Linked DNA regions of Nothobranchius furzeri. The protein of the gene in region 4 interacts with the protein of the main gene of each other region in a pairwise test. Links are inferred from orthologs where the notes say so. Each region holds a gene or a part of one and is shown on either strand. Other genes may lie near its edges. The genes, in order: rnf41, tfip11, stx11a, airim, trim54, rint1 and kifc3.

Region 1 (4,263 bases), on a different chromosome or scaffold from region 4:
TTCTTCATAACTTCTCAGTTTACTTTTAAATTCTGAAAAAGTCATGTCATCATCACTTTGTGTCACATGGATTCTAAAAGGCGTAAATGAGTCAGGTAGACCTTTTAAAACCATTGCTATTAGCAGTCCATCGCTCAAAGTTTCACCTGCGGTTCTCAGCGCTGTAATGGCGGCCTCGGCTCTCAAAACATAATCCGTTACACTCTCGCCGCTCTTCTGCTGTAATGCAGTCAGTTCTGTATATAAGCTTATTATGCGGGGTTTTCCCTTCCCGGCATAGTGTTCTCTCAAGATAATTAGAGCTTTCCGCCCGTCGTCAGCTGCGTCTCTCATCACCAGTGAAAGGCTCTTATCATCCAGGAATTGTATAAGTTCGGCATATGCCTCTGCGTTCTTTGAATCATATTCCTCATCATCGTCATCGTCTTTCGGTTTTAATATAATGTCTTTCAAACCTTGTAGCCGGAGGTGTCCGAGAAACTTTGTTTCCCACAGTTCATATTTATCCTCGTCTCCGTCAAATACCAGTCTTGACCAGCGGGTACTGGCTTCCACTGTCTTCCGACTCATAGTGTCCGACACACGTCGTAGCTCTCACTCGACTCACCGGACTTGCTGTTGGTCGGTTCTGTGCTCCTCACACGCTAGCAGGATGCTTTCCCAGCTGTCCTGATTAGCTTGGTGCGCAGCGGAAGCGTGCTGGGCCCATAACCTGTTAGCAGAGTTTCGTTTACCCAGCGGTTGGTCCAAGACTCCAAAATGAATCTCCAGGATTAAAAAAAGGAGGAAATAAATCCATAAACAGAGCGTCTGTTTCACGGGCCTTCACTGGTGGTAGCACACACTGATTGCGGCCACTAAAACACCAATGCTCCCTTTTATTGGTCAATTTACGAGGTCAAAGTTTAACTTCCTCTACAGGTACTTTTCAGTATAAAAGCATACATGTATATACACACACACACATTCTTATTTACAAATTTACACAGATGCATAACATAACAGAGCATAACAGAGCACATTAGACTGATGCTTAACAATTATTTCACAAAATTGATCCATTTGAGGCTTTTTTATTGGATGAAATCATAATGGAGGAAATGTATTGTCTGAGCTCTTGAAAACAAACAAACTTTTCAACATGGCATTTAGCTTACATTATTATAATATTAATGTGTTTTTTTAATCTCAATGTCATTTCTGAGGAACCCAAATAACACATTTCTCCATTATAACTTGAAGTCCGGATTAATGTTTATACAATTATTTACCCAAAACTGATTAACAAACAGACAATTAAAAAAAGAATGTACAAAGAAACAGCAGTCCGTTATGAAAGTTTTAACCGGATAAGGACATTTTCGACAGTGTTAGTGATTAACATTGTTTCGGTAAGAGAGACATTTTTCATTATAAAATTCACTTTTGGGATTTCTGCAGTTTTGCGTGATGACGTTTCCCCTCGTGTCGATTGAGACGTAGACTTGTATGACGTAGCACCAAGACGTGATTAGCAAGGGGCTAGTGTTGGTACGACGTCTGAAAACAGCCTGAATTGTGAAAAGGATCTATTTTACTCAATGTCTGAGTAAGTATATCAGTCAGCTGTTATATCTTGAGCAGTGCAGCTGACTGTAAACAGCTATTGGTGTGTGAAGTTGTCTCTAACGGAGGTCAGTCTGGTTAGCTTATAGCTAATGTCCAAAGGAAACCAACGACAGCGTAGCCGCTAGCTGGGCTAGCTAACGTTACATATTCAGAAATCGTGACAGTCAAACTGTGCTGCTGTACTTTGTAAACCATTAAGATATTTTTCTCTTTGACGCATGTTTACGTTATTAAAAATCAAGTTTTTACGATTTAGTTTAAAGTGTTATTATATGCGTGAAGATAACATTGAGAAACCTCGATGCTCAGCTAAGTTTTGTGCTCCTTGCTCTGAAATATGATGGAAACATGTTGATCTCAAAGCTGTTTCTTTTCATTTTTTGGAATCATTCATTTGTTAACCAGGACAGTAGATAAATATGTTTATTGTAAAATCACGTTGAAAAGTCAGCCTGAGGATGTGAATATGTATGAAAATGGCTACGCTCAATTTAAAGTTCAAATTCTTTATCCTCCAAAAAAACTGTCGGTATGGTAAATTTTTTTAGAAAGTACTTAATCTCAGATTTCAGCTAGTTAAACTCATTTGAGTACATTGTGTATACGTGATATGGGATTTAATGTTCTTGCATATGTGGTTTACAATCATCAGACTAAAAGTTTTTTTTTAAATGCAATAATTTTTTCCTTTTTATTCAGGCAGGGTCTGTGTCTTTTTAGGCAGGCAGAGCATTTCTGCCAGATGTGAGGAATCGAGGAGCTGAATGGAAATATTTGAGGCAGTTTGTGTTTGAGGTAAACAAGATGTTCTAACCAGAACTGTAAATTATTATTTTGACAAAATGTCAATCATTTTTTGATAGTAATTATTCATAGATAGTGTAAAAAACCCTTCTCATCTTAGTTTTAGCCAGGTTTGTTTCACAGTACTGGTATTTAGTAGCGTAGCAAGTGTATAAATGTAAATGTAAAAAAACAACCACACACACATATATACAAACAGTGAGCTAAAGAATTAGTTACTGTACTATATTACATTATCTTTCTGAGCACTCCTTTTCTATGGCCGTCTCCAAGTTTAGGTCCTTCACCACCACCCTTACCCATGGTGTCCCACAAGGTTCTCTGCTCTTCCTCCTCTATCTGCTTCCTCTTCAGCACATCCTGAGCTCCTTCAAAGGAATATCCTACCATCTTTATGCAGATGACATCCAACTGTACATCTCCTTTAAGCCCCATGAGATGTCTAAGCTGCAGCTGTTACACACCTGCTTAGACTCTATCAAAACCTGGATGGCTGGGAGCTTTCTTCAGCTGAATGAAGATAAGACTGAGATCCTCATCTGTGCCCCAGACAAGCTGGTTCCCAAAGTCAGAGACTCTCTTGGTCAGCTTGCTTCCCACACCAAACCTTCTGTCAGGAATCTTGGCGTGACCTTTGACCCAGCTCTCACCCTGGATTCTCATGTCATTTCTCTTGTTTGCTCTTCCTTCTTCCATCTCAGGAACGTTGCTAAGCTGAGTCCCATTCTGTCCCGCTCTGAACTTGAGACAGTTCTCCACTCCTTCATCTCCTCATGCTTAGACTACTGTAACTCTCTTTTCACGTGTCTGAGCAGAACCTCCCTGAACCGTCTACAGGTGGTTCGGAATGCCTGTGCTCGGCTTCTGACCAAGTCCTCCAAACACACCCACATCACTCCGCTTCTCCTCCAGCTTCACTGGCTGCCAGTCAACTTCAGGGTTCATTTCAAGATCCTGGTTCTGGTCTATAGGGCCTTACATGGACAAGCACCATCTTACATTGGTGATCTTCTTAGTCCCTACACCCCCAGCAGGTCCCTGAGGTCCGGTGATCAAAGCCTACTGGTTGTGCAGCACCAGACTAAAGACCAAAGGTGACAGATCATTTGCTGCTGTGGCCCCCAGACTCTGGAACTCTCTCCCCCTGAGCCTGAGATCAGTGGACTCAGTGGTCTCCTTTAAAAAGCAGCTGAAGACTCACCTGTTCAAGCTGGCTTTTGTATGACCTTCTTCACCTCTCTCTTTTTGTTCTGCTCTCCCCACCTATTCCACCTTCCTCAGGATCCACTGATTTCCCTCTTTCCTGTTCACTCTCTCTCTTTCTTAACATTTTTTAATTACAATTGCCCATTTTTTTTGCTCATTTAAAATATATTTTTAACCATTTTCTAAATTCTTTTTTATATTTTTTCATTTTTTGTTTTTGTGAAGCGCCTCGTGATTTTTATCTTGAGAAGCGCTATCGAAATGATATTTTCTTCCTCTTCATAATAAACAACATGATGAAACATGTCACCTTCTTGTGTTGAAATCTGTGTAAAATACTTTCGGTTTGGGGGGGGGGGGTGAGATTAAATAATTCAGCATCTCAGAAGCCCTTTTACAATACACACCGCCTTAATCTTATAAAAAGGACACGATTGCACCACATTACCGCCACAGTCTGACCACTTATGAACAACCTAAGGCTCCCTGATGCTGCCACGGCATTGCGGCAAATTAATGGCATTGTTTTGTAAAAATGGCTAGAGTGATAATAGAAACATTTGCTCATCAGGTTGCAGTACAAGCATTGCCAAGTATCTCCATTTCTGCTTTCTGAAAGGCATCTGGGTCATCCATTACAATACG
Region 2 (4,066 bases), on a different chromosome or scaffold from region 4:
GATATCCTCCAGACAATAAGAACTGTCCTGAAAAGATCAGAAAGCGTTCAAGAATTAGCTTGGATATTAATCATTTACTAAAAATGTGGTTTCCTCTAACTGTAAAAGACTACCTTCACAGGGTCCCAGGAGGAGAGTTTCTCTTTAAGCAATGGATGAATGACAGCCACAGCCAAATCTGCCAATCCCATCATCTTGTATTCCTCATAATAATCGGTTTGTAATGTCTCAAAGATCTGGGCACACTCCTGAAGAGACAAGCACTACAAATCAGCTTCACAATTATGAAATATAAAGCTGGAACTCCTTAATTTGAACAGCTTGCAGACCGGCTCCAGTCAGTGTTTGTAACACAAACCTGTAGGGTCGGGCCCTCTCCCGGTGCCGTCTCTTCAGAAGGAAAACGCTCCACTAATGCTAAGACAGCTTCCATTCTTCGGATGGATTCTTGCTCTGACTCCAGTCTGCTCTGCAAAGCTTTTGACTCATGGCTCAGAGAAACAACCACGTCTTTTTCATGCTGCAAACGTCTGGCAGACTACAAAAGATGCACAAAAAAAAGAAAGAACGCTTTAGTAGAGATTACAAGTTCTTCACATTTTTCTCAGGTTGCTGACTTATTAATATCCTATTCTTGTAGCTAAATATGTTGTAAATAATTCTTGGTTTCCTCTTACCTGTAATATGTTTTGTTCTGTCAGGTCTATCAGAAGCTGCAGATTATGCTCAAGTTCGGGGAGAGCAAAGCCAGATACCTTTTGATCCTGTGAAGCCAAGCTTGGTGGAGCTTCATCGGGAACACTGTGTTTGTGAGACATCTGACTATAACTGTAGTATACCTTCTGCTCTCTTCCAGTCATATCTATTACCTAGACCAAGGGAAATGTCAGGATAAATAAGTACTATGAATGTAGCCAAAATGTACTTAAATTACTGATGCTTAATAAAACACTGAATCCTCAATTTTGCACCTATGCAGCCATGCCAACATAAAAAACAAACAGCACACAAGTGAAACATAAACATACCTTGACCTGTGCCAGCTCTCCTGCAGTTGCAGATGTGCTCCGACTCACTATTTTACCTTTAGCCTTCAACTCATCTGCTGTTCTGTAAGAGTACTTGGGCTTCTTTTTTCCTGCAGGCCCAGCTGGATCCTTACGCCACTGGCCAAGTTCCTTCTGAAATTCCTATATAAAGATATAGAAAATTACCACAATGACTCTATAGACTCATTTGATCAATAAAATCAAACACAAAAATAAAAACAACATTGTAAAGACAATTTTTTTTCTCAGTACTTTACCTTCTCCTCTTCTTCCTCTGAGTCAACTACAGGAAAGTCCTGAAGACTCTGCTGGGTTCTTTCATTGCCATAAGCACCAACCGCTCCTTTTCCCTTACGGATCTTTGCCTCAATGGGGTTTATGATACCTACAGAGAGAAAGTACATTACAAGTGTTTCAATTCCACCACATCCATGTAAAAAACAAAACATTTTACAACATTTTTAAAAGAACAATCTAAGTCAACTAAACACACCTTGAGCATTCTTCCCCAAGCCTTTCCCTGGCTGGTAACCCATCTTCTGCAGAAGTTTCTGTCCAATTCCTTTGGTGTGTTTCTCCCAGTTACCAATTCCTTGTCCAGACTGTATTCCACCTGCAAACCTCTTAGACTGATTTCCACAGAAATTACCCTAGAAAAACATTTTTTCCCAACATCATTATTTTCACTATTTTCTTCTACAAACAATGGACATCACAATGTGCGCACATTTAAAAATTACCATCTGGAGTTTTTTGGGTGCAGTCACGCGTGAAGGGGGGAGTTTTGCAGAAGTATCATCATCAGAGTCGTCAGAGCTGCCTTCTTTTTCCCGCTCTTTCTCTTCAGCAGCACTCTTACGCAAACCACCACTCACAAAGCTCACAGGTACAGTGTAGTCTTTGGATCTAAAAAGAAATCATAAATATTTTATTAGAACATTTGGTTAGAAATTGTTTCAGAATTGGAATTTGTGTCAAAAGCAAGCCATTTATACTTCTTGCCACCAAAGCTGGGCCTTTCATCTTCATCAGAATCCTTCTCGGCCCAGATGCCATATGTGGCCTGCTCCTTGCTCTGCCTGAATTTGCGACGGTCTGGGTTGAACTCATTGGCTAAATCCCAGTCAGTAATCTCAAAACTCTCCACCTCCACACCTTCCTCTTCCTCCTCCCTCCGCCCGTAAAGGTGGGACATTGACATCTCTGCAAGTTATAAACAATATAGATCTTAATGAAATGTGACCGAATCCTAAAATTACACGTGCATTTATTTTCCAGGAAAGAAACATTGTGACTTCAAAATCAGGAAAAAGATGCATATCTAGTTTATTAAAGGCAAAGAAGAGGGAAATAAAATGCGATAACTAAGTCAGGTATGAAGTCAACGTTTGTGGTTTAACTAACGATAAATTAATAATGACAAAAAGGTTTACAATCAATAACGATGAATACACAAATAAGACTAAACGTGAAACATCGATTATAAAACTATACAAATCTGCTTAGAAGAAAACGGAGCGAAGGCTAATTACTAGCAATAACGCACGTTCTGTAGCATTAATGTAAATACACACAACATGTTAGTAGTGATAAAAAACGACGATTTCGTTTAAGTTAACTTACTAAAATATTAATTACAACCTTGGTCTGAGATCAAAAACACATATCTTATGTGGTAATAAGACGAACTGCAGAGACACGAACTGTTGACGAATGATATATTTTTGTCAAAAGCAAGTTCTTCCGGTTTAGCCGTGTCACTTCAATTAATGTACACTACAAATAATTTCATTAATATTTTAAAAGCAGCTTAATTAAAACCAACCATTCAACACATACATTTTTATAAAGCGGTCAATATTTTTTTTAAAAATAAAAACAATCGAACAACAGCAAATCTGTTGAATTTACGTGACTTTTAACTAGACGGAAATCACACCGGAAACAGAACAATGTGTTGCACTTGAATAGGTCATCTGCGTTTCCATTTTTAGCTTTCAGCTCTCAAAATGCTAAATTTGGTTTTGAGTTCCATGTTTTTATGATACTTACGTTTGGAAATGTATGTACTTATGTAAATTACATCTGGCAATTCACACAAATGTCGTACATATCCGATGAATGGCAGGTAGCTCGGCGTCGAAAAGGTGTATGTAGGCAATTTAAATCTCATCAAGTTCCTCTAAACTCACCATCATGCCATCAGGAGCAACTGGATGTTGGAAAACTCATCAGAAGAATCAGAGACAACATGTAAGAAGTTACGCACACACACATGTATGTATGTATGTATGTATGTATATATATATATATATATATATATATATATATATATATATATATATACATATATATATATATATATATATATATATATATATATATATATATATATATATGAGTAACAATATTTATCTTGCATAATAGGTGAAATCATACATCTTCCCATAAGTTATTGGTTTGCTTATATCTTTCCTTCTTAGGTTTGAACTAAAGTACGAAGATTTTTGGAAAGACTGGAATGGTGAGTTTGTTGTAGATATGTAGGTTGAGTTAAGCTTAGTTATTTAGTGGATCATCTTCTCTTCAGAGAATTTCCAGGCAGCAGCAGCATCCCTAAAACCTCCAGGGGACAGTGACACTGAAAATCAGCTGGAAAAAGCCCCAGAAGAAACACTGATGTGTGTTTGTTATGGTCTTGGGTCTTTTTCTTCATGTGTAGCCGCTCGCTACCAACTTGCCATGTTGCTGCTTCTTCTGGATGCGAGACAGGTGAGAAGATCGACTCCATCTGTGTTATAAATGATACTTGTGAAACTCTGATGCAAAATATGTGCTTTATTGCCCCTGTCCATGTAGATTTTACTGCGGGACTGCTATGTTTATGATCCTGCCTTCTCCTTTGCTGAAAAGAATGTCTTAAGAGAGCTGGGTTTGACTGTACTCACAGAAAATGAGGTCAGTTGACAAGAGCTTGAGTATTTTTGAAATAAATAACAGTAAAACACTGTTTTCAG
Region 3 (4,029 bases), on a different chromosome or scaffold from region 4:
AGTATACAAACAAATTGCATACAAAATTGAACAAAGAAGATGAAACATATGCCAGGGGGTGCACTACAGAAATGTTACACACATCCAAATAAATTACAGGTGGTGCAAATAGTTATAGTTTTTAAAGCTTTTTTGTTTAGTGATCCACTAATCAATTTTATGCAAGATAGAGTGTCACTATAATAGTGCTTGAAATTAGGTTTTTGGTTACTATACTTGCATTTGTGGAGATAGAATTTAGCTAGATTAACAAATTTATAACAAAGTATACATCTTCCTTTCTCTGCTTGCGAAAAAAATACAGCATTTTCCCATTTTAAAACGAAGTCCTTGCAGAGCTGTCCGATAATAAATCTGCTAAAGTCTTTCCAAAACGTTGTAGCATGTGAACAGATCCAGAAGAGGTGGGATTTGTTGTTTTATTTGGTTGTGGAGAGTAAAGATTTTCTGTCCTCTGCTGGAAACAAGTGGGTACTGCAGCGTTCAATACAGCGTTTAGTCCAATTTACAGGAAAGCCAGAGCGTCTTCACTTATATAAACTACTAAAACGCAATAAATCAATTTTAGTTATCTGTGTTCAACTCGATTAAATCAAGGAGCTGCAGCAGGAGCTAAAAGCAGCTAGCCACAGCACAGCAAATAGAGCAGATCTACCGCCCTCTGGCGGCCACAGGGCGAAACTACACGGCAGAAGGGTTTGTTTTTTGGCAATGTAAAACAGTTACGAAATTTTACCAAACTAATCAAACATGTCAGATATAAAAATATTGGTTATGAGTTCAACAGAACAATAAGCACCCAATTGCATCTAATAAACACTCAAACATTGATACATAGATTTTTTAAGGTCCTTTTTTTGTTTCAAACAGGAAAAGCATTACGTCTTTGGATTTCACAATGAATGTATGAAATACTCAAATAAATAAAATAAAAACAAATACTAATAAAAAACGCATGCTAAAAAGCTACTGAAAATCTGAGTAAATCACAACAGCTGATTTAATTTGATGAATTTGTTTATTCAGAAAAATGATATATGCAATCAATTATAATTACGTAACGTCATTTTAACATTTCTAAATCACCCTTATTCACAATACATTTTAAGTAAAAGCTTTGAGTTCAGGAAGAACTTCCATTCGGACCCCTTTGATGGAAGTTCTTCCTGAACTCAAAGCAGGGTTTGATCTTCCGCGTAGTTGGTCTCGCGGCGTCAGGAGGCTGGTGACACTCACACCTCTTTACTCAGACTGTGGTTGATGTTGGTGAAATGTCTAAATGTAACCGAGACACAAAGAGGAAACGGGTCTTTCTTTTCTTCTGTTTCTAAGGAGAGTTCTCTTTAGGAGGGCACCGCCATAAGGTACGTTTACTTCTCTGGTTTTATCGCCTCAAGTAACCTGGCGTAGTTTACAAGACTCCTCTTAGTTTCTTCGTTTACCTCCTCCCATCAGATCACTAGATGCTTATTCGTTTCTGTTTTGTTCATAAATACTTGAAATAGTTTGAAGTAGCTACACAATGTGAGTAGCATGTGGAGGACAGATGAGACTAACTAGCAGCTGAAAGCGTCACAATCTGAGGAAGTAACAGAGCAGTTTCCTTTTGTAGACATTACCGCCTGAAATTATTTCTAAACCATCAGTTTATTTATTTATTTAATTATTCATTCATAACCAGAGAAGCGTCCACACCTATTTTATCTTATCGCAACTCAATCAAAACTAATTAAAGTGAGAGCAGTAGCAGCTTTATGACGAGATAAGTATAATAAGAGTTGAATGGTTTTTAATTAGGTGTGTTTATATGGTTGATCATCATTTCTGTAACCAGGAAGAATTTGGTCGAGTCCAAAATGCATAAAGATAAAAATGAGACATTTTTGAATGATTGCCCCACTTTTATTGTTTCCAAAAATAAAATGGTCCATATTACGTCACAGCCAGTGAGTAACAGCAGCAAAAAGCTGATTCTAAATGTGTCATAGCAGCTTATAAGAGTTTAATTAGGATCTGTGTTTTCTAGGAGGGCTCTGGTCCAGCTTGTTGTCCGAAGGCCACCTCTGGTTTAATGCACCAAATAAGACTAAATGTTACCACATTTCTCGGATCACTTTGAAGATCTTACATAATTTCGAGGAAGCTTAAAAGCCCGTCTCGTGTTGATAATCATGGCCACATGATGATCAGCACTGTTCCTCTTTTCTGCAGCGTTATTATTTCCTGACAACCTGAGGAACCTCCTAAGATGCTGCTTAAAAGAGTGTTGTGTCAGATATCTGGAGTCAGTCTGAAAGCAGATCTTGTTTTTATTGTACTCTATTACTCTCCTCGTCTCTTAAGTTACTCAGAAGACAAAACTGCAAACTGGGCCTCAAAGATCTTTGTCTTTTGGAGATATGTCCAGCTTCCGCTCATCTCAGAGCGACGGAACATTTCATATATTTTAGAAAATAACAGATCGAACTGACTCTTGCTGCAGGTGAAATGAAGGACCGACTATCTGAGCTGAAAACCGTCACCCCGGAGCCTGCTGAGGAGGAGCTTAACACAGTCTTTGAGGATGAGGAGGTCGCAGAGTCACTGGCCATCGTGTTTCAAGGTGAAGATGTGATGGACGGCATCTACAAAGATGCCCAGATGATGAGGAAGGAGCTGCAGCTGCTGAAAATTGACGTGAAGCGTCTGGCGAAGCAGAACACGCGGTTCCTCACGTCCGTCAGGAGGTTTAGCAGCATCAAGCGGGACTCTAACGCGCTCGGCCGGGACATCAAAGCCAGGGGGGAGGCCATCTACGCCCAGCTGGAGAAGCTTGGAAAGCTGAGCAAAAAGCTTGGAGAGGAACACGGCTTCACGTCGGCTCTGTCTCGTATGGTGCGCTCACAGTACACTTCTCTGACTCGGGCCTTCCACGAGGCCATGTCTGAGTACAACGAGGCCGAAATGATCCAGAGGGAAAACTGTAAGACCCGCATTCAGAGGCAGGCGGAGATCATGGGCAAGGAGGTGACCAGGGAGCAGCTGGACGAGATGATCGAGAGCGGGAAGTGGAACGTCTTCTCGGATAATCTCCTTTTGGAGGGGAGGACTACCAGATCTGCTCTGAGCGAGATAGAGAGCAGACACAAGGAGCTGCTGGAGCTGGAGGGTCGCATCAGAGACATCCACGAGCTCTTCTCCCAGATGGCTCAGCTGGTGGAGGAGCAGGGCTGCATGCTGGACAACATAGAAGCAAACGTCTGCTCTACTCAGGACTACGTTGCCAAGGCAACGGTTCAAATCACACAGGCTAAAGAATACAGTGAAAACAACCCATGCAAGAAACTCTTCTGCTGCTGCTTCCCGTGCTGTAAATGATTCTTGGTCAGATTTAAACTGGAACTCTTTATAATTTTCCTTTTACGGGGTCAGCGTCAGACATCTCACTTCATTTTCACGTACTGTGCTGGTCTGAGAAGGAGGAAGAGTCATTTCAAACCGCGCTGTTCACATACAAATGCATTCAGTTGTAATCGAGTTGTTGCATTTCCTGATCGTAACTGATTATTACTTTCTGCAGCACCCACATGACTCCACGTCTCATCAAAGATATGTCATTGCAGCTTTTTATGTCGGGTAATGCATGTTTCATTCAGTAAAACTTGATTTATTTCTAAATTACTGCTTTGGAATGAAACGGCGACCATTAAAATGGGAGAAAAAAAAACAAAAGCTGGAGCTGACGTTGCTGCAGCTGTTGGCCAACAAGTGTGTAGAAACACAAATATTAGTGGTTAGCTGGGAGATAAGCTGCGTTCGTGTTGAACAACAAGCCTCGTTTTGCTCCAGCTTTATGCCGGAGCTTTTGTTGCTTCATATGAGATTAGCTCCAGCGTCTGGAGTCTGATTGGTGTCATGTTACATCCACACAAGCTTTTCTCTCAGGCGTGTACCTGAATCAGTGTCAGTACAAACACTCAGAGCCAGAGCAGGGGACTTCCTGTTGGTACCAGAGTTCTTTGGTAATCTGGATTTTTTCTCAGATTAGGG
Region 4 (3,157 bases):
GTGTTCTGATCCCGGTCTCCTGGACCGCCAACACGGTGGTCCAGGACTTCTACAACCCCAACGTTCCCGTCATGCACAAGCGGGAGCTGGGTCAGGCCATCTACCTGGGCTGGGCCGCCGCCGTCATCCTGATGATCAGCGGCGCCGTGCTGAGCAGCACCTGTCCGCTGATGGAGCGGGGCGGCCGGTACCGTCGCGGCTACGTCGGCCGGAGTTTCGCCAACTCGCCCGCACCGGAACCACCGAAACCCATCATCTCCAACAACGTCCCTCTGAAGGAGTACGTCTAGGGGGGGGGGTACCACTAACAGAGTGACCCTTTATTTATTTATTTATTTACACACAGGACTGTGTGTGTGAGTGTGTGAGTGTGTGTGTGTGTGTGTGTGAGAGTGTGTGTGTGTGTGTGTGTGTGTGAGAGTGTGTGTGAGAGTGTGTGTGAGAGTGTGTGTGTGTGTGTGTGTGTGTGTGTGTGTGAGTGTGTGTGTGTGTGTGTGTGAGTGTGTGTGTGTGTGACAGAGACTGAACTATTTGGCGTGCTAGCTTGTTAGCGTGTGCGGTGCAGGCTGTAATCTCTCCAGATCTTCACACAAACTTCTGGTTTTCAAATAAAAGCGTTTGACATTAAGAGCTGGAAGCGTCTTGTGTCCTCGGGTCGGGTCGGGTCGGGTCAGCGAACCCTCGCTAGCTCACTGAGGCTGGATGAAGAGAGAGAGTCTGCAGAGTGAATCTGAAAAGAGACAAAATCCAGCAAATCGGACCGTTGGGAGACCTGAACATGGGGGTGGGCTCTGGTCCACGTGTCACGACTCACCTGTGATCTGTTGATCGGCACTCGGAGACTCCAGAGATTTCCACCTTTTGGGAGCAGATTCCAGCAGAAGGAGTTGGTCCGGCCTCAGCGTCTGCAGCAGAGCTTTCCTCTGTAGGAATCTGAAGATGAGTTCAGGGAAACGACAACAGCAGGATAACGGGAATGCCAGGAGGCCCACAGGAAGGATACTGCTGCCTGTAGAAGCGCTCAGCGTCCTGGATCCACTGCAGCATGTCGGCCAGAGACGGGACGGTGGCCGAGCGCTCCGTCAGCATCGTCAGGTCCACAGAACTCTGCTGGTACTGCTGCAGGAGAGCAGAGGCCTGGCTACTGATGGAATCTCTGATGGACTGCAGACGGCACCTGGAGGAGGAACACAACACATGGACCGTCAGAAGATGGGTCACGAGCTGCTTCACAATAAATAACTAAAAAGATGAGAATAAAATGGGAGAAACAATTAAAAAGTAAGTGGATCATAGTTATAACGTCCAGCTAAGATGGATAGCCAACGCGCATGCGCTCCATCATAACCCTGGAACGGGTGTTGTTCTACTTCTGACCACTAGATGTCAGTATCACCCCGAAGCTCCGATTATTGATGACAATAACTAACGCTGACGTACGTTTATTTCCCGCCAGCGTGGTTCTGAGGGCTCTGACTCACATGTTCTCACCGAGCCTCTGGAGCACCGTGTCCGCAGCCTGCAGCAGCTTGACCCGCAGCAGCTCCTCCAGCTGCGGGAAGACTCGGAGCGGCGTGTCGAGCAGCTGGACGCGGGTCAGCGCGCTCATCTGCTCCGCCAGGTTCCCCAGAGCCTCCATGAGCGGGCTGCACTCCTCCAACACGCTCCTCCAGACCTCCCGCTGCTTCTCCAGACTCACGAAGCTCCTCCTCAGCGCCTCCTGCAGCGGCTCGGACATGCTCCGGTTCTCCTGCTCGAACCCGTTCCTACTTCACGCACGTCTCCACGCGGCAGCTCACGTCTAGAGCCCGCTTCCGGTCTCCGGATGTAAACAATGACTTATGATGCGTTCAGGGCACCTCAGAAGTCCGAGCTCTCACTCGAGCTCCATTTCAACTCCATCACCGTTGACCATATAAACAACACGTGTGGGGGGTGCAGTCGTTAGGGTGATCTAAACTCTAGTCCTGTGATTCATTTGTAGTCGGCAGTAATTCTAAATGATGCAATTTTAATGTTTTATATAGTCTAAAGACAGGATTACGTCATTTGACAAACACGGAATTCAGCAAAGTTACGGCTACAGTTCAAAAGTATGTTTTATGTAACAAGTGTAGGAAATTCCTACTTTATACGTTGTCAGTGAACGTAGCATGGAAAAGATCCAGTAGTTAGGAATGTTTTTATTTATCCATGAAGACAGCAGTGCGTGTCGGAACATAACGTACACCCTGTTAATAAATAATAAACACAGTTTTAATGGCGCTTAAACACGTTAAAGACCACAGCGTTTATTTTCCACCCTTTACATTTAACAATGTTCAGTTTTACAAACGGAATAAAACTACTGAAATGAAAGAATGAGCTTCAGTAAACTTTGTTCTTGTAAAAGAAAATGATAGAATGAACACATTAATCATTCAGTAACAATCTTCCTGTTTATAACACGTAAGTCAAAACCTACACACACCTATTCATATTTAGCTGTTCTTTAAGTCCCGATCAAGGACCAATTCATAAAGATATTGATCCAATAGAAACTCACAACGAGGAAGAACGGAACGTTTGTTGGTGAAACAAAGTTTCCGTCAGAGCTCTGCGTGCAGCGCGAGCCACAGAGACAGCTGTTGCCATAGATATGTATATATAAACATTTATGTTTATATAATAAACATAAATACAACACATAAACATTTATGTACATATGGCTGTTGTCACCGAGTACCCTAATAACGTGACTGTTACTACACCCCAAGCCACGTGATGGCAGTAATGCACGTTTGCCAAGCGCTGGTAAACGCCTCAGTGTTGTGACGCAGTAAAAACGTACGTCCTCATTGGCTGACGTGTCCCAGCGCAGAATTTTAAAACGTCTAGTAGGAAGAAGTAAGCGGCAAAAGAAACGCAGGTGACTTTTCTCTAATTTAAGGCTGATAAATCGGATTAAAGTGATGTTTTATCAATTTTATAAGATGTGTGAATAAATGGTCGGTAGAAAAATCCGCGCGAAGCCCTGATGCTAAATAACTAGCTAGCGCAGTCAGCGGATAACGTCCTCGTGCCTGCTCTTTTAGCTAAAGCTTATCTTCTGTGAAACGGTTTCAGACTCTCTGGACTAAATCCTTCCACTCCGCGCTGACATGGCTCCACGGAAGAG
Region 5 (4,202 bases), on a different chromosome or scaffold from region 4:
GTTCAATTCAATTCAAGTTTATTTAGCGCCAAATCACGACAAGAGTCGTCTCAAGGCACTTCACACAGTAAACATTCCAAAACTACAGCAATCCTCATACTAAGCAAGCATTTAGTGACAGTGGAGAGGAAAACTCCCTTTTAACAGGAAGAAACCTCCAGAGGATCCTGGGTCAGTATAAGCAGCCATCCACCATGACTCACTGGGGATGGAGAAGACAGAGCACACACACACACACACACACACACACACACACACACACACACACACACACACACACACACACACACACACACACACACACACACACACACACACAGAGCAGTGTGCTAGCCGATGGCCTCCTCCATGAAATTATTATATAAAATGGTTTGTCAGTGAAGATTGTTATTTAACTTATATTTTTTCTGCCTTCTGTTCTGTATTTGAAGCCATACTATGTAACTTTTTCATATTTTTAAATAATTTTCTTGAGTCAGTATGTGCTAAAATGATCCATTACAGGGTTAATGAAATGCCGCTCAGACCTTCAACTTCGGACTGCTGGGCACCTGTTGGACTTGGGGGGAAAAATTGCTGACATACCTGGTGCTTCAGTCTGCTTCCAGCACATTTCCTGCATGTTTTAGATTATGAACACACCTGATTTGTTGATGTAGTGATGACTCACAACCATGGACATAATTTTCACTTTAGAAGTGGGGGGACACGGGGGGGGGGGGTCTTCACAGTATGTTCTAATGGGAAACAGGCTTCAACACAATGGTTGTTTTCTGCTTGGTCCTAGAGCTCAACCAGTGTCAACTTAATATAGCGTAATATTGTCTTTGGATGGTAAAAAGTGCAGGGGTCAAAACTTGACTTTGGAAAAAGTTGGGGGGGGGGGGGGGGGGGGCATGCGTTAAAGAAATAATAGGCTTGCTTTTCAGCACCCCCTATAGTCTGAAGCGAAACCAATCTCGCTGTGCATTCTTCTTTTTAACACTTTAATCTAACAGCCAAAATGTCTCCCAGAGTTCCTAAGTGTCTAGAGGAGTGAGTCATCACTAAACGAAACAAATCAGCTGTGTTCATGATCGAAAACATGCTGGAACCAGACAGCAGCGCCCGGTAGGTCAGCTCAATTTTTTCTAAGTCCCAACAGACCGGAACACGATGGTCTGACCACAGGGGGTGATGGGGGCATTAACCCTGTAAAGGGTTATTTTAGCATTGGCTCAAGAAAATAATTTAAAAGTATGAAAAAGTTTTAAAGTGTCCATTTAAAAAGAGGAATGCACAGCAAGAAGATAGGTTTGATTATTGATTTGACCAAAGATAATTAATACGTACACTAGGGGGTGCTAAAGGTAAGCAAAACTGCCAAGTGTGCCTTTGTGTGCAGTACTGGAGCTCCACAGGGTACGGCGCTCTCACCCTTTCTGTTCACCTTTTACACCTCAGATTTCACCTACAACACCAGCAGCTGTCTGAGTTTGGGATAGATCCAGACTCTCCATCTCCTCTGATCATTTCTTTGTTTCTCTCAGAGAAACAAACTAATTTCTCCTCCTGATGACATCAAATTAAATAAAAACAAACTTTAAATTGATCCTGTCAGCTGTTTCAGTCGAGGGAAGCGTCTCGTGTTTCTGTTTCAGCATCTCGTCCTGCTTTATTTTCATCCTCCTGAGTGACGCCATCAAACATTCTAGAGCTAATTTTAGCGTCTCCTAAGAGGAAAACAAAAGATAAAAATGAATTTACTGAGTCAGAGTTGTTTTAGGATGTCTGTGGCTCTGATCAGCTGGACGTTCTCAGAACAAAGATGATTAGATATGATGCCGTGTAGCATTACATCTCATAGATAATCTTGTTAATCACTGCAGGAATCTAAATGAACTCTTCGTGTTGTCATGACAACCATTCACAGAGAACTCAAGATTTTCTTTGAAACATAAAAAAATAAAATTATGAACAAAATAAAACTTCTGAGTCAGTTCAGGAGAAGAACTCAGGATTTAAACAAAAAAAACAACAAGATTTTACTATTTTCTCCCAAATCTGAGCAAACAGGAAGTGAGTTGTGGGCTGGTTTAACTGGGACCAGTCAGGAATCAGCTGTGGGGTTTAAGGAATCATCTGAAGTGTTAACAACCAGGAACGTCTGTCATCGTGTCTCCAGGATCTTCTCTGAGGTGTCGGACTTCATGGAAACATCAACAGAGAGTTCTGATAGTGGTGACCCTCCTGCCACACCCGGAGCTCCCAGAAACCCGATCCAGAACAAACACTAGAGCTAAAAATATCTGATGGGAGGGTCCGTAAATCCGAGCCAGACGGGCTTTCAGAGGGGGAAGAATAGAGTCACATCTACAATAAAAACCAAACATCTCACAAACGCCAGCAGAATCTTTACCTGTTCGCCATCTGAGGCAATGAGCTTTGCTTCTGGGTTCAAACCTCCAACACCTGGAAGTTCTGAGCCCGGTACCCGTAGCAAAACCACGATGGAGAACCTGGAGAAACAGCTGATCTGCCCCGTGTGCTTGGAGATGTTCTCTAAACCTGTGGTGATCCTGCCCTGCCAGCATAACCTGTGTCGTGGGTGTGCCAACGACGTCCTGCAGGTGAGCATGAAGATCAACAGGTAGACTCATCAGAACCCCTGATCCAGTTCTGGTGATCCTGTGGGACTTACCCTCAGTTTCATGTTCTTAGCTGACACCTGGTGTGGTCGTCTGCTGCTGGAGTCCACCTGGAGCAGCTGGTGTGGTCCTAAAGGAACCACTGCTGTCTTTCAATCATCAAGAACCAGTCTGACCAGCCTCTGTAGACCCTAGATGGTTGTGGGTTCAAATCCTGGTAGATCAGACCATCATGCCTGGTACTAACAACATTCCACCGTAAATCTCTATTCTGATGCTCAGTTTGAACTTCAGCAGCAAACACCTTCTCTGATAGATGATTGATTTAAAGGAGACAAATTATGCAAAACTCACCTTCTGCATTTGTTTTGCGCCGTCGTGAGTCTACGGACTCCATAAACAGTCCAGGCAGGAAGACCCCATCCATCCATGTTCTGTCCGTCGTTGGTTTCAGGAATTACGTGCCTAAAATCAAGAAGTCCCAGATTGTGATTTCAAAAATGGGCAAATAAGCATAGAAATACCTTCACATGTCGACTCTGGAGGAGCGGCAGCTCTACTCTGAGCCCCTGTTGGATATTTGAGCTCCTCACCTCATAGGGACCAATCAGGAAATTGGTGGGTGTGGCCAGCAATGTTTTCTCAAAGTGACAGAGCCCTGAAATGGCTCATTTTGGAAAGTACTGAAAATGATAAAACTGCTGAAATTGCTTTATGTGAGAGAGATTTAGTGCAAAGAACTTCATAAACATCTTCGGTATTGACATAGAGCAACTACATTTAGCTAGAGTTGCTTTGTAATGTATATTTTGGCAATACTGTTGCCATGGTAACTCAAATTGTCATTAAAAGTGATTTACCACTTCTTCCAACCGAGCCAGTCAGTGTGATGCACAGTGTGTGCAGGTGCATGCTTGTATTTGAGCTCCGTCAAGTTCGAGGTGCTTTTTATTGTGGCTGTTTGTTAAAAGCGTTGCCATGGTAACACTAATTCCAAGCTACAGGCCCTAAAAAGGCTCATTTTAGCAGATTCAGACAAAAGGGTGCCTTTCTGCATATTAACACATCATTGTAGCTTTGTTGTTTTATTTATCACCATAAACAGCCATAAAATCATAAACATAAAAAAATAACTCTTATTTGTTGTGGTGAAAAAGTCAGATCACTATTTGAAAAACACTTTTTTTTAAATCACCTTGAAAGCGTTTGAATTAGTCCTCCAATGCTGATATGAGTGAAGGTTCCTTTAATTGTTTTCATTTTATGATTTAAAGATAAATTATTTGTTATAATAAACATATATACATATATATATTTATTATTACATCGACATATGTCGATGTAATAAACTTAGAAAGCGTATAAGATGTTCCTGAGAATCATCGTTTTAAAAATGACTCCAGCTGACTAACCTCAACCCATTAAACAGCCTCCTGTTTATCATTAAGATAAATGATAAAATGTCTTTTAACAAAAATCCAAGAAAACCAGTTTTTGTCTTCAACCAGGCCACCAACCCTCTGTGGCAGCCTCGAGGCTCCTCCAGCAGCGGACGCTTCCGCTGTCCATCATGCC
Region 6 (4,112 bases), on a different chromosome or scaffold from region 4:
TTATCATTTAAGAAATATCTCCAAACTGCGAAGGTTGGTGTCAAAACATGAACTTGTAATGGTCATCCATGCCTTTATCTCCTCCCGACTAGATTACTTTAACACACTTTTCACATGTTTTAACAAGAAAAACCTTGACCGCCTTCAGTTGGGCCAGAACTCTGCAGTGAGGCTTCTAACTGGAGCAAACACAAGAGCTCACAACCCTAATGTCTCTCCACTGGTTACCCGTTAACTTTAGAGTTCATTTTAGTATACTGACTATAACTTTCAATGCTCTACATGGTCAAGCTCCTCCCTATATTACTGAACTGTTAAAGCCTTATGCTCAAACCCGAGCCCTCAGGTCCACACACCAGAACCTTCTAGAAGTTCCAGACTGTTGCACCCCGACTCTGGAATGATCTTCCTTTATCCTTACACAGCATTGACAGTCTGGACACTTTTAAAAATCAGCTGAAGACCCTTTTATTTAAAGCTGCTTTTACCTAAATCTTTTATTTTCTTATTTTTAACTCAAATTTGTAATAATTTTTCATTTGTTTTATGGTGTTTTATTATTTTAGACTTTATTTTTCAGATTTTAATCCATTTCTGTTTTAAGATCATTATGATTTTATGACTTTATGATTTGTTTTGATCCATGTGAAGCACGTTGTGATTTTCTGTCTGAGATGAGTGCTATGTACTTAATTACAACGGCTGTGTTGGCTGAATTTGTCTTGAGAATTCTTTGAACATTTAAAAATTTCTAGGCACAGAGTCAGGCCCTGAGAATCACAAGAAGGAACCAAGAACACTTGAATGTTTGGATAACCTTCTGAAAACTCACTCTGAATGGTGATGCCAGTGTCTCGCTAACAGAGCCCAGTGAGATACTAACTAAATAAAAACTCATGAGCAAATGCAAAACTACAGATTAAAGGTTGTGTAGAGTTAGAAGCCTTGCTCTCTCACCACCAAAGACAAATGTCAGATCATTATGGTGTCCTGACATAATGCTAAACATCTCACCTGATGAAACTAAACACATTTACATGGTTAAAAAAACTGAGCACATGAATGTGTGGAGACAGTCCCCAAGATCCTATTGGATCTGTGTCCAGAAGGATACGAGGTCTGCAGGGCCAGCAGCTGAGTCACCAGCTCCTCCACATGGCTGCTGACCTCCTGACCTGCAGGAGGTGTCGCAGACTGAGATGTTGTTGAGACAATTGGCCAGTGTAGTTGAGTCAATGCGTTTTCAAAATCACTAAAGAGGTTTAAAAAGAAAGAATCAGCTTTTACAGTAGATGAAAGAAGACAAAAACATCCCAGTCTTGGTTGGGATTTGATGGAGCCATACCTGGACAGCTGTTCTTTGATGATATTGTGCCAGAAACAAAGCGTTTTCCTGAGAAACTCCACAAGGTGGGAACATCCTGACTGGTTGAGGCCAGAGTCCAGAGCCGCCATGCTCTCTACAGCTTTTATAGCTTCCCAGACACCGTTGGTCATCAGAAACTGCTGGACTGAAGCACTGTAGACACATAATATTAACATTATGCAGCAGAAATGAGGAGCAGTTTTAAACCTCAGTGATGCATCACTGTAACCTCAACCAACATGTCTCCAAGCCTCTAATCACCCTACCTGAGCTCTCCTATGTAGTGAAGGCACTTTAGATACTTCATGCTTTTCTCCATAGAGTCTACATGGTTAAATGTCTGCCCTAGGTCATCCATCAACTGCCGGGTGCCCTGCAGGTGCTGGAAGATCAGAATATTTAACAGCATCAGTAAAACATCCCTGGATTACAGTGGGGATTGTCACAGAACACCTTAAACAAGCATAGATGATTCAGCTCAGATCGTGTTTCAGATCTTGTATGGGATAGATCAAATACAACTCTGATGTTCGTTCTGCTACTTCAGATTGAAATCTGCTCTTTTGTTGAGCTTCTGCAGTTTCTACCTGCTGCAGCTGACTGGAGACAGATTGTTCTCTCTGCAGCACGTCCTCCAAGGAACACCGGACCTCCTCTGCAGCTGACAGGGATGCTGAGATTTTGGGAGGAACAGAACTGCACACACTCAGAACCTGGAAAGCAAAAACAATGCAATCCCATTCAGCCAGAACCTAAAGGACAAAACATTGTTCTAATCTTTCAGATTGCAAAAAAACACATTTTTATTTAATGTGGTTGAGTTCAGGTTGCAGAATAAATTAATAACCCGTGAGTTAGTGGCTATGAACCCTGACCTGTCAGCACAGTGGTCTTTGATTAAAATTGTATATGTATGCACAAGAGTTCCAGTTCTTTTAATGTTTAAAACTCTATCAAGTGAAATATAGATGATGAACTGTGAGGTCTTATCCACTGAAGCAGTTTTTATTTAGTTCATCTCCTTCATTGTGAAAACATTTGTTTAAATCTTATTTAATGTGCTTTAGGTTCACACCTAATCCACCAGAATGCCACCAAACAGCTGACTTTAACCACAACAGCTCGCTGTTACACACTAATTCGTTAACTTTAAAAACACCGTGTAGTAAATAAAGTTCAGGTTCGGTACCTGCTCCTCCACCAACGCCGTCTCTGTTTTCATTTTCTCCAGCAGCTCACTAACGGCTTCTAAAGACATCAGTTCGCTGCCAAACTCTTGCTCCAAAAAACCCAGTCCGTAGTCCAGCTGGGTCCCAGAACCATCACCGAAACAGTCCGGATCCTGATCCATGTCACGGACAGAATGCCGAAAAGACTCTACAGCTGGTACCGTCGCCATCTTTATTTTTGACAACACCGCCACGCTGCACAGTGAGGAACAACTCACCACTGCCCCCTGCTGTCGGGAAAGGGAAGGTACCAAAACAACACCAGACCCCTATCCTCTTGTCTAAAAACACTAGATGTTTCGGGTTCTTTAACCAAACTTTATTTACAGTGAAAACATTACAGAATTAAAGTATTTGCTTATAATGCAGTAAACAACAGACAACACAACATAAACAGTAATACCAACAATGAAAAGGTACATAAATAATAAAAATTCAAATTAATGACGCTGAGGTCACCAAGGCGATTCAAAAGCTGCTCAATGGCAATGTCTCACGATGGATAAGAATGAGATTCACCCAGAGTTCCTGGATATAGGGTTGCGTTGAAGTGGCTCTGCGATAAACCACCAAACGATTCCCGAGCACAGCTTTGTCTGCAGCTCACCACTCCCCCAGGGATGGGTGTCAAATGCAGAGAACAAATTTCACACACCAGTGTGACAACTAATGGGACTTTGATATTACATGTTTATGTTTATTCATTTAAGAGACGCTTTTATCCAAAGCGACTTACAATTTATAACCTATAGGGCATGTTGGGATCTGTTGAGGAAACCGGAGTACCTGGAGGAAACCCACGCATGCATGGGGAGAAGACGCAACTCCACGCAGAAAGGCCACAGCTGAGTTTCGAACCTGCAACCTTCATGCTGCGAGGCAACAGTGCTAACAACTGTGCCACCATGCAGCATGGACATCGGGGGCAGTCTCGTGGATTGGCAGACCAGGTCGGTGGTTCTTTCTATTTAAAAAGAGGGAGCACAGGGTGTGTTCCAACTAAAGGGGGATCACACTACTGGGCCTCCCTGGTAAAGTCTATTCAGGGGTTCTGGAGAGGAGGGTCCGTCAGATAGTTGAACTTTGGTTTCAGAAGGAACAATATGGTTTTGGTCCTGGCTGTTGAACACTGGACCAGCCCAATATGTTTTGTAGACTTGGAGAAGGTGTTCAACCGTGTCCTCCAGGGAGTCCCGTGGGGGTTACCATGAGAATATGAGGTACCAGCCCCCTTGATACGGGCCGTACGGTCCCTGTATGACCGGTGCCAGAGCTTGGTCTGCATTGCTGGCAGTAACAGCGTTCTGGGTGATAGTTGGACTCCACCAAGGCTGCCCTTTGTCACCAATTCTGTTCATAACTTTTGTGGACAGGATTTCTAGACACAGCCAAGATGTTGAGGGAATCCATTTTGGTGGCCCAAGGATCAGGGTCACTGATTTTTGCACGATGTAGTCCTGTTGGCTTCATCGGGTCGTGATCTTGAGCTTTTGCTGGAGTAGTTTGCAGTCGAATGT
Region 7 (4,010 bases), on a different chromosome or scaffold from region 4:
ACTCCCCAGGAGACGGAGAAGTATGAGGGCAAAACATCTCCGCCCGTGCGTGCGTGTCTCTCCCTTTTGGAGCTGACGGAGAAGCATGAATCAGGCTTTAGCCGGAGGTCCACTTCTGTCGTCCTCTTTCAGTAAGATTTTTTAAATTGGGTTTTTTGTGGCTCACTACTTTTGGGACACGAAAAAAAACATTTGTGCTTGTCATGACTAGAGTGATTACAACAACCGTAGATGGAACAGAGTTTGGGGATTTTGACGCCGAGTCAACAGAGTAATGCATTTGGTGACGTGGACGCTACGCCATGTGAGACCCAGTAATGGAGGCAATAGAGACCCACTTGGTTGCAGCAGTCAGACACTTGAGCTGACAAAGCAGCGCATTAGGGAATGAAAACAATTTTATTTATTTTTTAAGGGTGCAATTTGGCCAATGATATTTATAGCTGTGGGTAGGGCTGGGCGATACGGCCTAAAATCAATATCACGATATATTGAGGAGTTCACCATAATGGCGATAAATGGACGTTAACTACAGGTATGTGTAGAAACAAAAGTTGTCCACTAGATGGGGCTGTCACATGTATTACGTTGAGTCACATTTTTACGAGACTCGAGGTGGACATGAATGTTGCCAACCTGCACACATCTTTTCATTTTTTTATTATCAGATTTATTGACATGGGGACAATGATCTCGATAAGAGTCAGAAATTTCGATGATGATACATTTTCAATTTATTGCCCAGCCCTAGCTGTGGGTGTGTTTCGCTCATTTTCTGCCCCTCACTTACCCTCTTGTGCATGTGAGACATTCTGATTAGCCGGCTTCCTGCAACAGCGTAATGCATTTTATTGTAATGTGTACTTAAAAGTGCGACTTCTCTTTTAAAAAGAACGCTTGAATTTTTCTGATGGCTGAAACCTTTGCAGAGTTATGGTAAATCAAGTATACGTGTAAAATATTTAGGCTTTTGTCCGCCTTGTTAAACAACAGTGGGGGAAACTGTTGAAGCCAAATTCAAAATGACTCGAAGGACTTGAAGCCTGAATGCACCTCTCCTGACATCATCACAGGCAACAGTCATTCCGAGCTTGAGGTAAAAATAAAGAATTAAAGTTTTAATGGAGGATTACCTGTGGATTAGACAACAATAACAGAGAGGAGGACAAGGTTCATGTGTTCTTATCAGTTCTGTGGAAGTACAGCGTTGGCAGGGTAGGGACGGGACCAGGACAGAGGTGAGACAGCTGAGGAATAAATGAGAAAGCGACAGGATTACGGGACACCTGTGTGCCTCACTCACCTGGATCCTGTCCCAGGCTGAGCTCACCTGTGGGACAGGAACATGTTGGTCCTCTCCATGCTGGTTTTGCTCACACTCTACAGCCTCCTCAGGAGGAGCAACAACCAACTCAAAGGTAGCTCAGAGCATGGAGGTGATGCTAATGGACCAGGACAAAGTGGCGTGAAGGCTGTGAGGAAGAGGAAGGGGGTCCGTGTACGATGTGTCTCCTCATCCAGCAGGAGGCCAGTTGAGGTGAGGAGGTCAAGGTCTGGAAATATTCTGAGATTTTAAACATTTCTGCAAATCAGGATAGAAAAGGGGGTGTTAGACAGAAAATGGTCTTTGTCCTCAGAACTTCCATGAACCCTTGTGCAGCCTTACTTCTCAGTCTGGCCAGTTTGAAGTGAGCTGGTCCCAGTTCACAGCTGAGTTCTCCACTTAGTGACGGTGGCTCAAGGGTTAGGAGTTCGCCCTGTAGCCGGTTCAAACCCCAACTGCGTTTCGATCGTAGTTGTGTCCTTTGGCCGGACACTTCACCATAAGTGTCCAAATTCAAGAGCTGCATCAATCATGCCTAATCGGTCTGCGTAGCCTTGTCTTTTTGTTGAGCAAGTTTGCGCATGTGTGAGTATATTTTTAGCTGTTTTAATTTTATTTTTTCTGGTTTCCAGAACAAGTGATCTAGGCAGCTGGTTCTGTGCTGGGTTCTGCACGAAGGGCCATTTTAGTCTGAATTTTTTGAAGCCAACAAGGAGTGGCAAAAATTGCAGTTCCACCCTCATCTGCTAGGGGCTGGCACCAGAGCAGAGCAAGTTCCCGTTGACTCCCATGTAAAAAATGCTAATTTCACAGCAGAAATAAACATGTTTACAGCCTGGTTCAAAAAACATTTTAGGTTTAATAGATATGGGCCAAAGGGGTCGGGTGCAGTGTGTGACGGGTGGTAGTCGAGGGCGGGGACCTTGTCGGTCTGATCCTCGGCTACAGAAGCTCTTTGGTGGGGAAGGAGCCTGAGTTGGTGTGTGAGGTTGAGAGGTTCCAACTAGATATAGTCGGACTCACCTCAGCGCATGGCTCTGGCTCTGGAACCATTTTCCTTGAGAGGGGTTGGACTTTCTACCACACTGGAGTTGCTCCCACTGAGAGGCGCAGAGCAGGGGTGGGCATACTAGTTGCCCCCCCATCTTGGTGCCTGTACATTGAGGTTTACCCCTGTGAATGAGAGGATAGCCTCCCTCCGCCTACGTGTGGGGGGACGGGTTCTGACTGTGGTCTGTGCTTATGAACCAATCTACAGTTCAGACTACCCACCCTTTTTGGAGACCTTGGAGGGGGTGCTGGAAAGCGCTCGCTCCGGTGACGCCCTCGTTTTGCTGGGGGACTTAAACGCTCATGTGGGCAACGACAGTGAGACCTGAAGAGGTGTGGTTGGGAGGAACGGCCCCCCGATCTGAATTTGAGTGGTGTTTTGTTATTGGACTTCTGTGCCAGTCATGGATTGTCCATAATGAACACCATGTTCAGACATAAAGGTGTCCATATGTGCTCTTGGCAACAGGATACCTTAGGCCGCAGCTCGATGATCGACTTTGTTGTTGTTTCATCTGACCTGCGGCCGCATGTCTTGGACACTCGGGTGAAGAGAGGGGTGGAGCTGTCAACTGACCACTACCTGGTAGTGAGTTGGCTCAGTTGGTGGGGGAGGATGCCGGTCAGAGCAGGCAGGTCCAAACGCATCACGAGGGTTTGCTGGGAACGTCTGGCAGAGTCTCCTGTCAGAAGGAGCTTCAATTCCCACCTCCGACAGAACTTCCAAAATGTTCCGGGGGAGGCGGGGGACATTGAGTCTGAATGGACTCTGTTCCATACCTCCATTGTTGAGGCGGCCGACCAGAGCTGTGGTCGCAGGATCGTCGGTGCCTGTCGTGGTGGAAACCCCCGAATCCGCTGGTGGACACTGGCGGTTAGGGATGATGTCAAGCTGAAGAAAGAGTCCTATCAGGTCTTTTTGGCCTGTGGGACTCCAGAGGCAGCTGACGGGTACCGGCAGTCCAAGCGGAACGCAGCTCGGGTGGTCGCCAAGGCAAAAACCCAGACATGGGAGGAGTTTGGTGAGATCATGGAGCAAGACTTCCATACGGCTTCGATGAGATTGTGGTCCACCATCCGGCGCCTTGGGGGGAGAAGCAGTGCGCTACCAACAATATCTATAGTGGGGACGGTGTGCTGCTGACCTCTACTCAGGCAACACATTCTCACATCCAAGGTGTCAAAATATGACGCGTGTGACCAAGCCTCAATATATGACGATTCAGGACGCCCCAGCGCGTCAGGAGACGACGATCAGGGAGAAACTGCTGACGCAGCGTCCCAGAGCTCGGTATCCAACGCTGGTGCTGAGACGGACATTAGAACTACTTGTGAACTACTTAACCTTCCCCTCACCCCAATCCTAACCTTAAGGTCACAGTTTATGGACCTTAAGGTTAGGGTTAGGATTGGGGTGAGGGGAAGGTTAAATAGTTGAATAATGTCCGTATGACCGCCCGCGTCAAACAGTGACGCCAGCAGAGCCACGTGTCCTAGCGTGTCCCTGATCATCGTCTCCTGACGCGCTAGGGCATCCCGAATCGTCATATATTGAGGCCTGATCACACGCGTCATATTTTGACGCCTTGGGTGTGAGAATGTGTTGACTCAGGACGTTGTGGATCAGTGGGCAGAA

What was found.
Region 1: the proteins of airim (region 4) and rnf41 interact in binary tests that used the Homo sapiens proteins (3 or more experiments, as listed by UniProt). The two-hybrid records come from large-scale screens. The link is inferred for Nothobranchius furzeri from reciprocal best matches to the Homo sapiens genes AIRIM and RNF41.
Region 2: the proteins of airim (region 4) and tfip11 interact in binary tests that used the Homo sapiens proteins (3 or more experiments, as listed by UniProt). The two-hybrid records come from large-scale screens. The link is inferred for Nothobranchius furzeri from reciprocal best matches to the Homo sapiens genes AIRIM and TFIP11.
Region 3: the proteins of airim (region 4) and stx11a interact in binary tests that used the Homo sapiens proteins (3 or more experiments, as listed by UniProt). The two-hybrid records come from large-scale screens. The link is inferred for Nothobranchius furzeri from reciprocal best matches to the Homo sapiens genes AIRIM and STX11.
Region 5: the proteins of airim (region 4) and trim54 interact in binary tests that used the Homo sapiens proteins (3 or more experiments, as listed by UniProt). The two-hybrid records come from large-scale screens. The link is inferred for Nothobranchius furzeri from reciprocal best matches to the Homo sapiens genes AIRIM and TRIM54.
Region 6: the proteins of airim (region 4) and rint1 interact in binary tests that used the Homo sapiens proteins (3 or more experiments, as listed by UniProt). The two-hybrid records come from large-scale screens. The link is inferred for Nothobranchius furzeri from reciprocal best matches to the Homo sapiens genes AIRIM and RINT1.
Region 7: the proteins of airim (region 4) and kifc3 interact in binary tests that used the Homo sapiens proteins (3 or more experiments, as listed by UniProt). The two-hybrid records come from large-scale screens. The link is inferred for Nothobranchius furzeri from reciprocal best matches to the Homo sapiens genes AIRIM and KIFC3.

Annotation. Positions count from the first base shown.
Region 1 is NC_091755.1:37,149,527-37,153,789, reverse strand, and holds the start of rnf41 (E3 ubiquitin-protein ligase NRDP1), read left to right. Parts: upstream 1-1,463; 5' UTR 1,464-1,588; intron 1,589-2,307; 5' UTR 2,308-2,403; intron 2,404-4,263. Other genes in the region: uncharacterized protein, read right to left, coding at 1-570. UniProt on the Homo sapiens protein: Acts as E3 ubiquitin-protein ligase and regulates the degradation of target proteins. Polyubiquitinates MYD88. Negatively regulates MYD88-dependent production of pro-inflammatory cytokines.
Region 2 is NC_091757.1:45,000,280-45,004,345, forward strand, and holds the start of tfip11 (tuftelin-interacting protein 11), read right to left. Parts: upstream 2,801-4,066; 5' UTR 2,691-2,800; exon of another isoform or gene 2,673-2,690; intron 2,253-2,672; 5' UTR 2,251-2,252; coding exon 2,045-2,250; intron 1,956-2,044; coding exon 1,790-1,955; intron 1,700-1,789; coding exon 1,543-1,699; intron 1,435-1,542; coding exon 1,307-1,434; intron 1,191-1,306; coding exon 1,029-1,190; intron 870-1,028; coding exon 678-869; intron 539-677; coding exon 359-538; intron 249-358; coding exon 114-248; intron 28-113; coding exon 1-27. Other genes in the region: srrd (SRR1-like protein), read left to right, coding at 3,091-3,302, 3,533-3,573, 3,640-3,821, 3,909-4,007. UniProt on the Homo sapiens protein: Involved in pre-mRNA splicing, specifically in spliceosome disassembly during late-stage splicing events. Intron turnover seems to proceed through reactions in two lariat-intron associated complexes termed Intron Large (IL) and Intron Small (IS).
Region 3 is NC_091758.1:20,330,308-20,334,336, forward strand, and holds stx11a (syntaxin-11a), read left to right. Parts: upstream 1-1,229; 5' UTR 1,230-1,364; intron 1,365-2,482; 5' UTR 2,483-2,487; coding exon 2,488-3,357; 3' UTR 3,358-3,734; downstream 3,735-4,029. UniProt on the Homo sapiens protein: SNARE that acts to regulate protein transport between late endosomes and the trans-Golgi network.
Region 4 is NC_091759.1:26,720,645-26,723,801, reverse strand, and holds airim (AFG2-interacting ribosome maturation factor), read right to left. Parts: upstream 1,848-3,157; 5' UTR 1,739-1,847; coding exon 1,482-1,738; intron 1,178-1,481; coding exon 1,004-1,177; intron 934-1,003; coding exon 815-933; intron 731-814; coding exon 690-730; 3' UTR 501-689; downstream 1-500. Other genes in the region: cldn35 (claudin-4), read left to right, coding at 1-290; cdca8 (borealin), read left to right, coding at 3,141-3,157. UniProt on the Homo sapiens protein: Part of the 55LCC heterohexameric ATPase complex which is chromatin-associated and promotes replisome proteostasis to maintain replication fork progression and genome stability.
Region 5 is NC_091742.1:14,248,886-14,253,087, forward strand, and holds the start of trim54 (tripartite motif-containing protein 54), read left to right. Parts: upstream 1-1,402; 5' UTR 1,403-2,291; coding exon 2,292-2,609; intron 2,610-4,135; coding exon 4,136-4,202. UniProt on the Homo sapiens protein: May bind and stabilize microtubules during myotubes formation.
Region 6 is NC_091741.1:64,278,013-64,282,124, forward strand, and holds the start of rint1 (RAD50-interacting protein 1), read right to left. Parts: upstream 2,801-4,112; 5' UTR 2,766-2,800; coding exon 2,556-2,765; intron 2,080-2,555; coding exon 1,954-2,079; intron 1,749-1,953; coding exon 1,633-1,748; intron 1,520-1,632; coding exon 1,346-1,519; intron 1,253-1,345; coding exon 1,115-1,252; intron 1-1,114. UniProt on the Homo sapiens protein: Involved in regulation of membrane traffic between the Golgi and the endoplasmic reticulum (ER); the function is proposed to depend on its association in the NRZ complex which is believed to play a role in SNARE assembly at the ER.
Region 7 is NC_091749.1:65,919,630-65,923,639, forward strand, and holds the start of kifc3 (kinesin-like protein KIFC3), read left to right. Parts: upstream 1-1,210; 5' UTR 1,211-1,345; coding exon 1,346-1,537; intron 1,538-4,010. UniProt on the Homo sapiens protein: Minus-end microtubule-dependent motor protein. Involved in apically targeted transport. Required for zonula adherens maintenance.